Xenopus tropicalis: one gene and its partners. The protein of the gene in region 1 interacts with the protein of each later gene in a biochemical or structural test. Links are inferred from orthologs where the notes say so. Each region holds a gene or a part of one and is shown on either strand. Other genes may lie near its edges.

Region 1 (3,500 bases):
TATATTCACTTACCCAGGGGGAGGTTCCTGTCTGACCATGGGAAAGAGAGCAGCCCAGGAGCAGGAAGTACAGAGAATCAGAGCTCTGTACATGGGTAAGTACTGGGGGGAGATTGGATTCACTTACCCAGGGGGAGGTTCCTGCCTGACCATGGGAAAGAGAGCAGCCCAGGAGCAGGACACAGACATTGAATACTTACCCACTATTTTGCTGTCTTCTCTCTCCAGGTAACGCTTCCACATCTGATTGGCTCGTTCATCATCGCTGAGGGAAAGGAGAAGCACATTATAGAACACAAGTCTGATCAACATTTCATAATTGACCCACCAACCCGCCCAGTCTCAGGGGTCAGTAGTGTCCATCCCTAGTTTGCCCTGCATGTGGGTTGTTCTCCTCCCTATGGTTACTAAAGGGGATGGGGTTCCTGGTATGATAAGGGGCCAGGAATGCCACAAAAGCAAACATGGGTGCCAAGTTGCACATGATTATCTCTGTGGGTGCTCCAGAACCCTATGTGGGCCCCAGGCTCCAATACCTGAGAGAATCCTGATGTTCCAGTGCTGCGGGGCGCTTGGCGTCAGACAGAATGCTGGGAGTTTTCCTGCCCTTCCGATTGATTTCCACGTGAATCCGATCCATAAAGAATTTGAGGAATTCCTGAGCATCTTGTTGGCTGCAGGACAAGACACCATGTGATCCTGGGCGGAGCTAAAGCAATTTGGGAATCCCGCAGCCCCCCTCCCCCCCCCCCCATTTGATTTTGCGGAACAATTCCTAAACAGACACCCGGAGTAAATGGGATTGGGAAGTGTGAGTGCAGCCACAAATAGCAGCGGCTTAGTAAGGGGGGGGGGGGGGGGCTAAGCTCCGCCTCCCCGCACTGCTGCCCCCTGCTAAAACTGGGATTAGGAGAAGAAAGTGACAGGAGGATTATGGGAGCAGAACTCTCTCCTTCTGACTCTGGGGGGGGGCAGTGACCAACCTGTAGCCGGTGAAAGATGGCACATATTTCTGGAAGACTGCCTTTAACCGCGCCGGGTTTGCAGCGTCAGGGGGGTCGGGGCTCCACAGGGACGCAATGACATCAGCGAAGGCTGAAAGCGACAACGAATATCACACGGCGTTAAGCACAGAGATAAGGAGATTACATGGGGGCATAACTAGCGGGGTCTTCTACATATATAGTCTCCCCTGTTCCCTCTCAGCCTCCCCCCTATTCCTTTACTGTATCAGTCCCACCGGCCCTGCTGGGAGGCAGTTCCCTGTATCTATGCCCCTTACTGTATCAGTCCCACCGGCCCTGCTGGGAGGCAGTTCCCTGTATCTATGCCCCTTACTGTATCAGTCCCACCAGCCCTGCTGGGAGGCAGTTCCCTGTATCTATGCCCCTTACTGTATTAGTCCCACCGGCCCTGCTGGGAGGCAGTTCCCTGTATCTATGCCCCTTACTGTATTAGTCCCACCGGCCCTGCTGGGAGGCTGTTCCCTGTATCTATGCCCCTTACTGTATCAGTCCCACCGGCCCTGCTGGGAGGCTGTTCCCTGTATCTATGCCCCTTACTGTATCAGTCCCACCGGCCCTGCTGGGAGGCTGTTCCCTGTATTTATGCCCCTTACTGTATCAGTCCCACCGGCCCTGCTGGGAGGCTGTTCCCTGTATCTATGCCCCTTACTGTATTAGTCCCACCGGCCCTGCTGGGAGGCTGTTCCCTGTATTTATGCCCCTTACTGTATTAGTCCCACCGGCCCTGCTGGGAGGCTGTTCCCTGTATCTATGCCCCTTACTGTATCAGTCCCACCGGCCCTGCTGGGAGGCAGTTCCCTGTATCTATGCCCCTTACTGTATTAGTCCCACCGGCCCTGCTGGGAGGCTGTTCCCTGTATCTATGCCCCTTACTGTATCAGTCCCACCGGCCCTGCTGGGAGGCTGTTCCCTGTATCTATGCCCCTTACTGTATCAGTCCCACCGGCCCTGCTGGGAGGCTGTTCCCTGTATCTATGCCCCTTACTGTATCAGTCCCACCGGCCCTGCTGGGAGGCAGTTCCCTGTATCTATGCCCCTTACTGTATCAGTCCCACCGGCCCTGCTGGGAGGCAGTTCCCTGTATCTATGCCCCTTACTGTATCAGTCCCACCGGCCCTGCTGGGAGGCAGTTCCCTGTATCTATGCCCCTTACTGTATCAGTCCCACCGGCCCTGCTGGGAGGCTGTTCCCTGTATCTATGCCCCTTACTGTATCAGTCCCATCTGCCCTGCTGGGAGGCTGTTCCCCGTACCTACCCCCCTTTCTGTAAAGTAGCACTTCCCTATGTTCCCTTTCAGCCTCCCCCCCTATTCCTTTACTGTATCAGTCCCACCGGCCCTGCTGGGAGGCTGTTCCCTGTATCTATGCCCCTTACTGTATCAGTCCCACCGGCCCTGCTGGGAGGCTGTTCCCTGTATCTATGCCCCTTACTGTATCAGTCCCACCGGCCCTGCTGGGAGGCTGTTCCCTGTATCTATGCCCCTTACTGTATCAGTCCCACCGGCCCTGCTGGGAGGCTGTTCCCTGTATCTATGCCACTTACTGTATCAGTCCCACCGGCCCTGCTGGGAGGCTGTTCCCTGTATCTACTCCCCTTTCTGTAAAGTAGCACTTCCTTATGTTCCCTTTCAGCCCCCACCCCCCTATTCCTTTACTGTATTAGTCCCACCGGCCCTGCTGGGAGGCTGTTCCCCGTACCTACCCCCCTTTCTGTAAAGTAGCACTTCCCTATGTTCCCTTTCAGCCTCCCCCCCTATTCCTTTACTGTATCAGTCCCACCGGCCCTGCTGGGAGGCTGTTCCCTGTATCTATGCCCCTTACTGTATCAGTCCCACCGGTCCTGCTGGGAGGCTGTTCCCTGTATCTACTCCCCTTTCTGTAAAGTAGCACTTCCCTATGTTCCCTTTCAGCCTCCCCCCCCTATTCCTTTACTGTATTAGTGCCACCGGCCCTGCTGGGAGGCAGTTCCCTGTAACTAACACAGCAAGACTATAGTTGCCACCTACCTTCGGTGAGCTCCTGCTGTGCCTTGCAGCTTCCTGGCTGTTCCTGTCGGTATTCCTGGCGCAGAATGTAGTCCCGTAAGGGCTTGGTACTGCTCAGACACTGCAGCACGGCGTTCATGAAACACTGCGGGGTCCCACAGACAGGAGGATTTAGCAAACATGGCGTGTTGGGGGGGGGGGGGGGTACGTTCAGCACAAGTGCACTCTGGGACAGCTGCTGTTGTTAAAGGGGAAATCTTACCGTATTCCCTAAATTCCGCAGGCCGACGTGACCCGAGCCGAGGGCAGGAAGCCGGGGGGGCTGCAGGGAAACAGAGAGGGGTGAGAATATGGGGCTTTGGCTTATCGGAGAGCACACATGGGGTACAAAGCCACAAGGGATTGGGAGGTGCCATTGACATTATATATATATATATATATATTACAGCACTGCTGCCTGGGGAGGTCTATGATAGATTTAAATAACCCC
Region 2 (4,040 bases), on another chromosome or scaffold:
CAGCCACCGGCCAGAGGCAACGCGGCCCAAAGCACACAGCCACCGGCCAGAGGCAACGCGGCCCAAAGCACACAGCCACCGGCCAGAGGCAACGCGGCCCAAAGCACACAGCCACCGGCCAGAGGCAACGCGGCCCAAAGCACACAGCCACCGGCCAGAGGCAACGCGGCCCAAAGCACACAGCCACCGGCCAGAGGCAACGCGGCCCAAAGCACACAGCCACCGGCCAGAGGCAACGCGGCCCGAAGCACACAGCCACCGGCCAGAGGCAACGCGGCCCGAAGAACACAGCCACCGGCCAGAGGCTATTGCAGTAAGCTCTCAAGTCCCAGGGCACTTACTGGAGGAATGGCTGGTCTGCTGTGGAGTACGATTCTCATTTGGTCCCTGTGGTTTGCCAGCCTGATGCCCATGAGTTACTGGCCTCAGTGGCCCCTGAGTCATTGGCTTCTGAGTGGACATAACAGGTTTCTGAGCGGACATAACAGGTTTCTGAGCCTGAGACACGACTCGCTGTGGCACATTGGAGGGACCCAATATCCTCTGGGCAGAGACGGCAGTCCCAGGAGGTCTAACCTGGGTGCTCGGAGGCTGGGTAACTGGGATACGTTTGGGACCCTCCATTGTGGGGTGGAAAACCTACAGTAAAGAAAAAGAGAAACCTTAGTAAGAATAATCAAATGCCAAACCATGGATGTAAAGATCTCTGGGAAACAACTTCCCTGGGCAGCTAAGGATGCTGGGAATTTCTTAGCACAGACTATGGTCAGTAGTCTGACAGTTCTTTATTACCAGGGAGAATGCATAACATTAAAGAGAGAAACCCAAAAGACTTTTACAGACATTAAACTGAGCATTTTGTGGCGCAGGCAGAGGAACGTCGTGTTACCGGCGCAAGGGCAAGTATTCCCTCCTTCTGCCTTCCAGTGTGATCGAGTTACTGAACTACACATCTCAACAGTTTACATCTCACAGCGATAAAGATAATCACCTACTGAGGCGCAGGGGAACTTAAATACAAAAAGAAATAGTGGCTCCCCAAGTGCTTAGTAACTTGGGCAGATAAAGACTTACCTTGACATTAGAAGGAAGATTCTCTTTAACAGCCCGTTCCATTATATGTGCCTGTCACCAACATATTCAGTTATATAAACCGTCAATAGAAACCGAGCAAACATTGCAAGTTCTTATGCTTAGAGAGATTTGGGGTGAGTGAGTAATCTTATTAGGCCCATGGTACCCCTGGAACTATAGCGGGGTGACTGTTACCCCAATGTTTCTATATATCTGTAACCTTGTTATGGGCTAAGGGGGCCCAGCCTGAAGGCCAGTTAGGGGGGGATTTGGGGTGAGTGCTTATTTGTGCCCTGGGTACCCCTGGAACTATAGCGGGGTGACTGTTACCCCAATGTTTCTATATATCTGTAACCTTGTTATGGGCTAAGGGGGCCCAGCCTGAAGGCCAGTTAGGGGGGGGATTTGGGGTGAGTGCTTATTTGTGCCCTGGGTACCCCTGGAACTATAGCAGGGTGACTGTTACCCCAATGTTTCTATATATCTGTAACCTTGTTATGGGCTAAGGGGGCCCAGCCTGAAGGCCAGTTAGGGGGGATTTGGGGTGAGTGCTTATTTGTGCCCTGGGTACCCTGGAACTATAGCGGGGTGACTGTTACCCCAATGTTTCTATATATCTGTAACCTTGTTATGGGCTAAGGGGGCCCAGCCTGAAGGCCAGTTAGGGGGGATTTGGGGTGAGTGCTTATTTGTGCCCTGGGTACCCCTGGAACTATAGCGGGGTGACTGTTACCCCAATGTTTCTATATATCTGTAACCTTGTTATGGGCTAAGGGGGCCCAGCCTGAAGGCCAGTTAGGGGGGGGGATTTGGGGTGAGTGCTTATTTGTGCCCTGGGTACCCCTGGAACTATAGCAGGGTGACTGTTACCCCAATGTTTCTATATATCTGTAACCTTGTTATGGGCTAAGGGGGCCCAGCCTGAAGGCCAGTTAGGGGGGGATTTGGGGTGAGTGCTTATTTGTGCCCTGGGTACCCCTGGAACTATAGCAGGGTGACTGTTACCCCAATGTTTCTATATATCTGTAACCTTGTTATGGGCTAAGGGGGCCCAGCCTGAAGGCCAGTTAGGGGGGGGATTTGGGGTGAGTGCTTATTTGTGCCCTGGGTACCCCTGGAACTATAGCAGGGTGACTGTTACCCCAATGTTTCTATATATCTGTAACCTTGTTATGGGCTAAGGGGGCCCAGCCTGAAGGCCAGTTAGGGGGGGATTTGGGGTGAGTGCTTATTTGTGCCCTGGGTACCCCTGGAACGATAAGGATCACCCTTTTTCCTGCTGGGGGGGGGGGGGGCAATCATCTCCAGACTGGGAGCCCAAATCCAAAATCCCACACATTACCAACTCCCAAAACTCAGTCATGGATTAACACTAAATACTAAGGCCTGTATGGGCCCCACACAAACACATGGGGGGGGGGGGGGGGGCAATACTAAGGCCTGTATGGGCCCCACACAAACACATATGGGGGGGGGCAGTACTAAGGCCTGTATGGGCCCCACATGAGCCAGTGCCACTGGGAGATGCAGTTTCATTGGCCCATAAAGATAACCAATGGCTGAAGCACAGAGGGTGCAGCTGTTACAGCCCAGAATATATAACTCAGTTCACACAACACTCCCGAACCATATGAAACAAAGCTCCCCATTGGCCCAGTCACACACACACACCTGGCAGCCGAATGTGCGGGCCGGGACTCTAGCAGCTCTCACACAGACCGGATTGCAGCAGCTGAAGCCACGGACAGACACTGGTTAGCGGCAGACGCAAAACCGACAGCTCCGCTTCCCGTCAGGCAGAACACTCGCCTCACTTCCTCCAACCGTCACAGCCCACTCCGATTCAAATCGCCCGCTTTTAAATCCCTTTAACCCGCTCCGAGCGCTGATTGGCTGCAGGCGGTCAGCTGCCTCGCTTTGATTGGTGGAGAGCGGAGATCCGTTAGGTATCCGAGTGACAAGAGCTTGACGCGCAAGGCGCCTGCGCGTTGGTGTGTGACGTGTTAGACGCTGGCCTGTCGCGCCTGTATGACGTATAGTCGGGTCTGGGAGCGCTTTCTGGTTTGAAAGAGTTTTATCTGGGCCTTTACTGAGTATCTGTGCGCACTTACCGGCATAGCCCCGCCCCGCCCAGGAACCGGAAGCCTTTCTGCTCGGTGAGTATCCTGCCCGCTCCCTCTCTGCCAGTCACTATGTGCTGCCCGCTATTATATCCCATACACACAGCAATATGGCTGCCCAATGGCTCCGGTGCATCGGTCCCTTCCCTGCACTGCTGGTTCTGACTCCTGATACAACTCCCCAATACCCATTCATTCCTCATTCTCACTGGGTTTATAGTTATGTGTAACTGTCACTGTGTCTGTCCCTTTCCCTTCCCTGCACTGCTGGTTCTGACTCCTGATACAACTCCCCAATACCCATTCATTCCTCATTCTCACTGGGTTTATAGTTATGTGTAACTGTCACTGTGTCTGTCCCTTTCCCTTCCCTGCACTGCTGGTTCTGACTCCTGATACAACTCCCCAATACCCATTCATCCCTCATTCTCACTGGGTTTATAGTTATGTGTAACTGTCACTGTGTCTGTCCCTTTCCCTTCCCTGCACTGCTGGTTCTGACTCCTGATACAACTCCCCAATATCCATTCATTCCTCATTCTCACTGGGTTTATAGTTATGTGTAACTGTCACTGTGTCTGTCCCTTTCCCTTCCCTGCACTGCTGGTTCTGACTCCTGATACAACTCCCCAATATCCATTCATCCCTCATTCTCACTGGGTTTATAGTTATGTGTAACTGTCACTGTGTCTGTCCCTTTCCCTTCCCTGCACTGCTGGTTCTGACTCCTGATACAACTCCCCAATATCCATTCATTCCTCATTCTCACTGGGTTTATAGTTATGTGTAACTGTCACTGTGTCTGTCCCTTTCCCTTCCCTGCACTGCTGGTTCTGACTCCTGATA
Region 3 (4,057 bases), on another chromosome or scaffold:
TAAACGTGCATTTTTTAATACCTAGAATTTATTATCTTAATGATTGAATTACTTGCCTAGAAAGATAAAACTGCATGGTTGGGCCCAGGAGTTTGTTTTATATTGTATCAGCTCCTATGATTTCTAATTACCTGCTAATGACACGGAGTATTTCCAAAACACTCACTGGTAAAGATGAGCAATATTTACTTGTCAGTGGGGGAACATAGGGTCAGCCTTGTTCATACCAGGGCGACACACTGGGCAGCATAAGCAACAGAAAACCACAATACTGCAGAGTTCAGATAAAGCTGTAAAACTCTGGGAGATGCCATGTGCCTTCCAAGACACAAATAATGTGGTTCCTTTGCCCCAATCTAGACAAACTATTCAGTAAGGAGCAACCTAGAAAATGCAATCAAAATAACCCACTACTCCTGTCTACACTTTTCAAAGCAAGTTATGGGGAACATGGTAAATAAAGGACATGCAGCATTTGCCAAGTGGACTTTTGATCTAAAAATGCTAACTCTCCTGTTCCATAGAAGAGGTCCACTTATCACTTCTACTGCACAAATGGAAAGAAGTGGCAAGCAGAGAGAGGCAGCTGAAGTCCACATGTGCCATTATGGCTTCACTAAGTAAAACAGCTTAAACAAAAAAATGTCAGTACCAATTTCTGTAAAACGTAACAGCACCAGCAGATCCCTAGAAACCTACCATCATTAGGGAACACAACCTTAAATAAAATACAGCACGTTAGATAAATTTAATAAATACCAGCTTCTGTAACTTACATGTTTAAAATTAGCTTCATAATGAACATAGGCAGCATTCTCTGAGATTGTGATGGCATCACAATTAAGCATATAGTGCAAGCAGCACAGTGACCTTCCAGTTTATAGTAACCACATGCAGACTACTTTCTCTGAGGAAAGTGGCTATATACGTTGTGTGTGCTAGGGTGTAAATATATATTTATGTTTTTAAGAAGTTCAAATGATATTCTAATGCAAGTTGGTTGTATTTATTTACAGTACTTGTCATTTTGTAAACTTTGAATCATTAGCATATCCAATTGCACAAAAGTACTCAAAAACTTAAGGTAAACTTAAACTAAAGCAGAAATTTTAAATATAATTTGACCTATGTTGAATTGGAATAAATACTTTAGAATCATGCATATATTACTAAGCGATACTAAGTGAGGGGGTATTTTCTTCTTATTGGAACAAATACTTAGCTAGAGAATCAAACACCTCTACCATAAACTAGTTTACTGCCATACTATCTGCCAATGAAAATTTCAGATCATCAAAGCAATGCTGTTTGTTTGCAGCTACAATCTTGTGTTCCTTTTTTGTATTGGGGGGGGTTGTTAATATAAACAGTAAAACCAGGTTTTGCTTTACATGGACCTAGGTTTTAGTTTGTGTGAGGTAGTTGACATTGACTCATAAAGCAGTCATAAAGCTGTCTGATGTCACACCTCACCAAAATTTGTGTGCCCTGTCTCCTTAGCATGATCCCTTGCAGCTGATTGCCCAGTCAACCCTTTCTGACACACCATACAACGCAATGCAAATTGGTTTACGTCTGTAAACTGCCTCTTCTTCCTAGCATCATCTGCAAGCTCCATAGCCTGGACAAGAGCCTCATCATCTGTTGTCGAAAAGACAGTCATTGGAGGCATGTCAAGATCTGCAAACAGACGTTGTAATGGATCATAGTGGATACCATCATAAATGAGTAAAACTCGTTTAGTGTAACCAGAATCTTCCCCAAATCTATCTATCCGTACAGTCTGAGTGTCTACCACACAAATCTCACACTGGTAGAATTTGGATAGAATGGAAACTTCAATAGCACCTCCCCATGTGTCTTCTCTTCTAATCCATGTGCAATATTCCTCATTACTTTTCCCAAGAACAGCCTCACAGTAAGTAGATGGGTCACTGGCCACAATCTCCGCAATGAGGTTGCGCATTTCTGGGGCACATGCCGGGTCATAAACACCCCCTTCTACCACATAATAAATGCTTGTGAACAGACATGAATTATCTGCTGGAACTACCCTCCGGACAATTGTTGGCTGTGCTGGTGCATTCCAATTACCAAGGTCAGTTTTGGAAACTGGCGGAATTTCTGATTTCAGCTTACTTTTATCTTCTTCCACAATAAGTGTGTCCCCTGTAAGGGACAGAAAGAAAACAAAAACCAATCTATTTAAAGATAAGGTATGTTTATTATGAGCACAAGTTTTTTAATTTTTCATACTATATTTTCACAATCAGTACATATTAGTAGAAAAAAAATGCTGAAGTACACACCAATATTATCAAAGCCCATGAAACAGACAACTGAACTTGTACAAATTAGCGCAAACTTAATCATATGCCTGACGAATCTTATAACCTACAAATGTCTATTACCCACTATGCGACAGTTTGCTTACTCCCCTCCTATCTGAAAAAACAAAATTCTTCCACCACAACCACACCGACTATTAAACGCCCTCACCAGATTTGATGGGCAGATTTTTTAGTGTCGCCTCTCCGTCGCTCAAGTCCAGGGAAGCAGGGGGAAAGCCCACCATAACGCGCTGCTGGGGCCCTGAAATACCTGTAAGACCTGCTATGCGCTCCTGCAACTCCCGGATACTGGAGCGGTCTGTGAGACCTTGTAGGAGCTGGGTACCCTCTCGGGTTTTACATCTAAGCCGCAACATAATGCACAGATATATGAAAGCACTGGAAATAGAGTAACTATTGTCGGCGATAATACAGGAAAGGCACTGAGTCATTTCCGGCGATTTGAAGTTCTCTTACCAGTGGCAACGCACTCTCGCGGGATTTTCTCCTAAAAGCGCATCCTGGGTTAGTTGAGGATCTAATTGCTGCATGGCTGTAGGAAGTGCGAGCTGTGATACAGAAGATGGCACAGCTGAATTCAGGCAGTGATTTTACTGAGTCTTACCACCTAATAGTATTGCATTTGTAAAAGCGGTTATTCACTTTGGAATAAACTTTTAGGGGCAGGTTTATCAAAACAAGAGTTTCGTATCCCGAATGGGAAAAATTCGGATTGGAAACGAAGATCGCAAATATCATGAAAATGCTTACGAAAAAATCGTATTAGTCACGATAATATCGTATTGGTGATCCGAAAGTCATAAAATTTTCGTACCGAACGATTGTAAACAGCGGCAAAACCGATCTGTGTTTTTCACGCTAAGAATACGAAAAAGTCATGGAAAATACGATTGGACCGATCGAACAAACAAGGCAGAGCGTTCGTGGATAAGTAAATGTGGCCCCTAGTGTGATGACAAGATTGATATTCTGACACAGTTTGCAAATTGGTCTTCGTTTTTTATTTCTTTTTTTTTTTTTTTTATTATGTAGCATTTTGTTTAGTAGCTCCCCAGTTTTGAATGTTGTCTTTCTTAACACAGCCTCCAGTTAAAAAAGTGCAGTTTAAACATCCTACAGATCTTTGACTCTTTGTCTGATGGTCGGTTTGCCATCTTTTTTGGAAAAAAATATTGGCCTTCCTATAGTTTTATCTTTCTTTCCTATTAATAACATTGATGTCAGGCATCAATTTTACCAGCCAGACCAGTAAAACACCGGCCTGGGGAAACCCTGTCAGACAGTAAATTCAGATGTCTTATCTCGCTAGACCAGGGATCTACAAACTCAGATGTAAAAATTGTTGGTGAGCCACACAAACATAAAAAAAGCTATTTGGGGATGCCAAATAAGGACTGTGATTGACAATTTGGTAGCCTCAAGTCTCTGTGCTTCCAAATTTACCTCCAAGCCAGAGATATAAAAATAGGCACGTACTTTAAGCATACCTCCCAACATTTGAAAACCGAAAAGAGGGACAAAAAGATTTTTTTGACCACGCCCACTTTTGTGGCCACGCCCCAATTAACACACCCCATTTTTTTCTAAAAATACTCCTTTTATATAGTTGAAATGGCGGGATCAGATGCAAATGTGCTACAACTCCTACATATAAAATACAAATATAGAGAAAAGGCAGTCAGTTATAAGTGAGTTCTAACTATCTA

What was found.
Region 2: the proteins of usp21 (region 1) and aurka form a complex in vitro, tested with the Homo sapiens proteins (2 studies listed by BioGRID, with this or other methods). The link is inferred for Xenopus tropicalis from reciprocal best matches to the Homo sapiens genes USP21 and AURKA.
Region 3: the proteins of usp21 (region 1) and yod1 form a complex in vitro, tested with the Homo sapiens proteins (2 studies listed by BioGRID, with this or other methods). The link is inferred for Xenopus tropicalis from reciprocal best matches to the Homo sapiens genes USP21 and YOD1.

The regions. Positions count from the first base shown.
Region 1 is NC_030684.2:142,754,264-142,757,763, forward strand, and holds part of usp21 (ubiquitin carboxyl-terminal hydrolase 21), read right to left. Parts: intron 3,333-3,500; coding exon 3,273-3,332; intron 3,156-3,272; coding exon 3,032-3,155; intron 1,096-3,031; coding exon 984-1,095; intron 675-983; coding exon 537-674; intron 266-536; coding exon 201-265; intron 1-200. UniProt on the Homo sapiens protein: Deubiquitinates histone H2A, a specific tag for epigenetic transcriptional repression, thereby acting as a coactivator.
Region 2 is NC_030686.2:6,088,050-6,092,089, reverse strand, and holds the start of aurka (aurora kinase A), read right to left. Parts: upstream 2,801-4,040; 5' UTR 2,746-2,800; intron 1,126-2,745; 5' UTR 1,117-1,125; coding exon 1,075-1,116; intron 640-1,074; coding exon 342-639; intron 1-341. UniProt on the Homo sapiens protein: Mitotic serine/threonine kinase that contributes to the regulation of cell cycle progression.
Region 3 is NC_030678.2:62,950,483-62,954,539, reverse strand, and holds the start of yod1 (ubiquitin thioesterase OTU1), read right to left. Parts: upstream 2,801-4,057; 5' UTR 2,783-2,800; coding exon 2,500-2,782; intron 2,170-2,499; coding exon 1,463-2,169; 3' UTR 1-1,462. UniProt on the Homo sapiens protein: Hydrolase that can remove conjugated ubiquitin from proteins and participates in endoplasmic reticulum-associated degradation (ERAD) for misfolded lumenal proteins.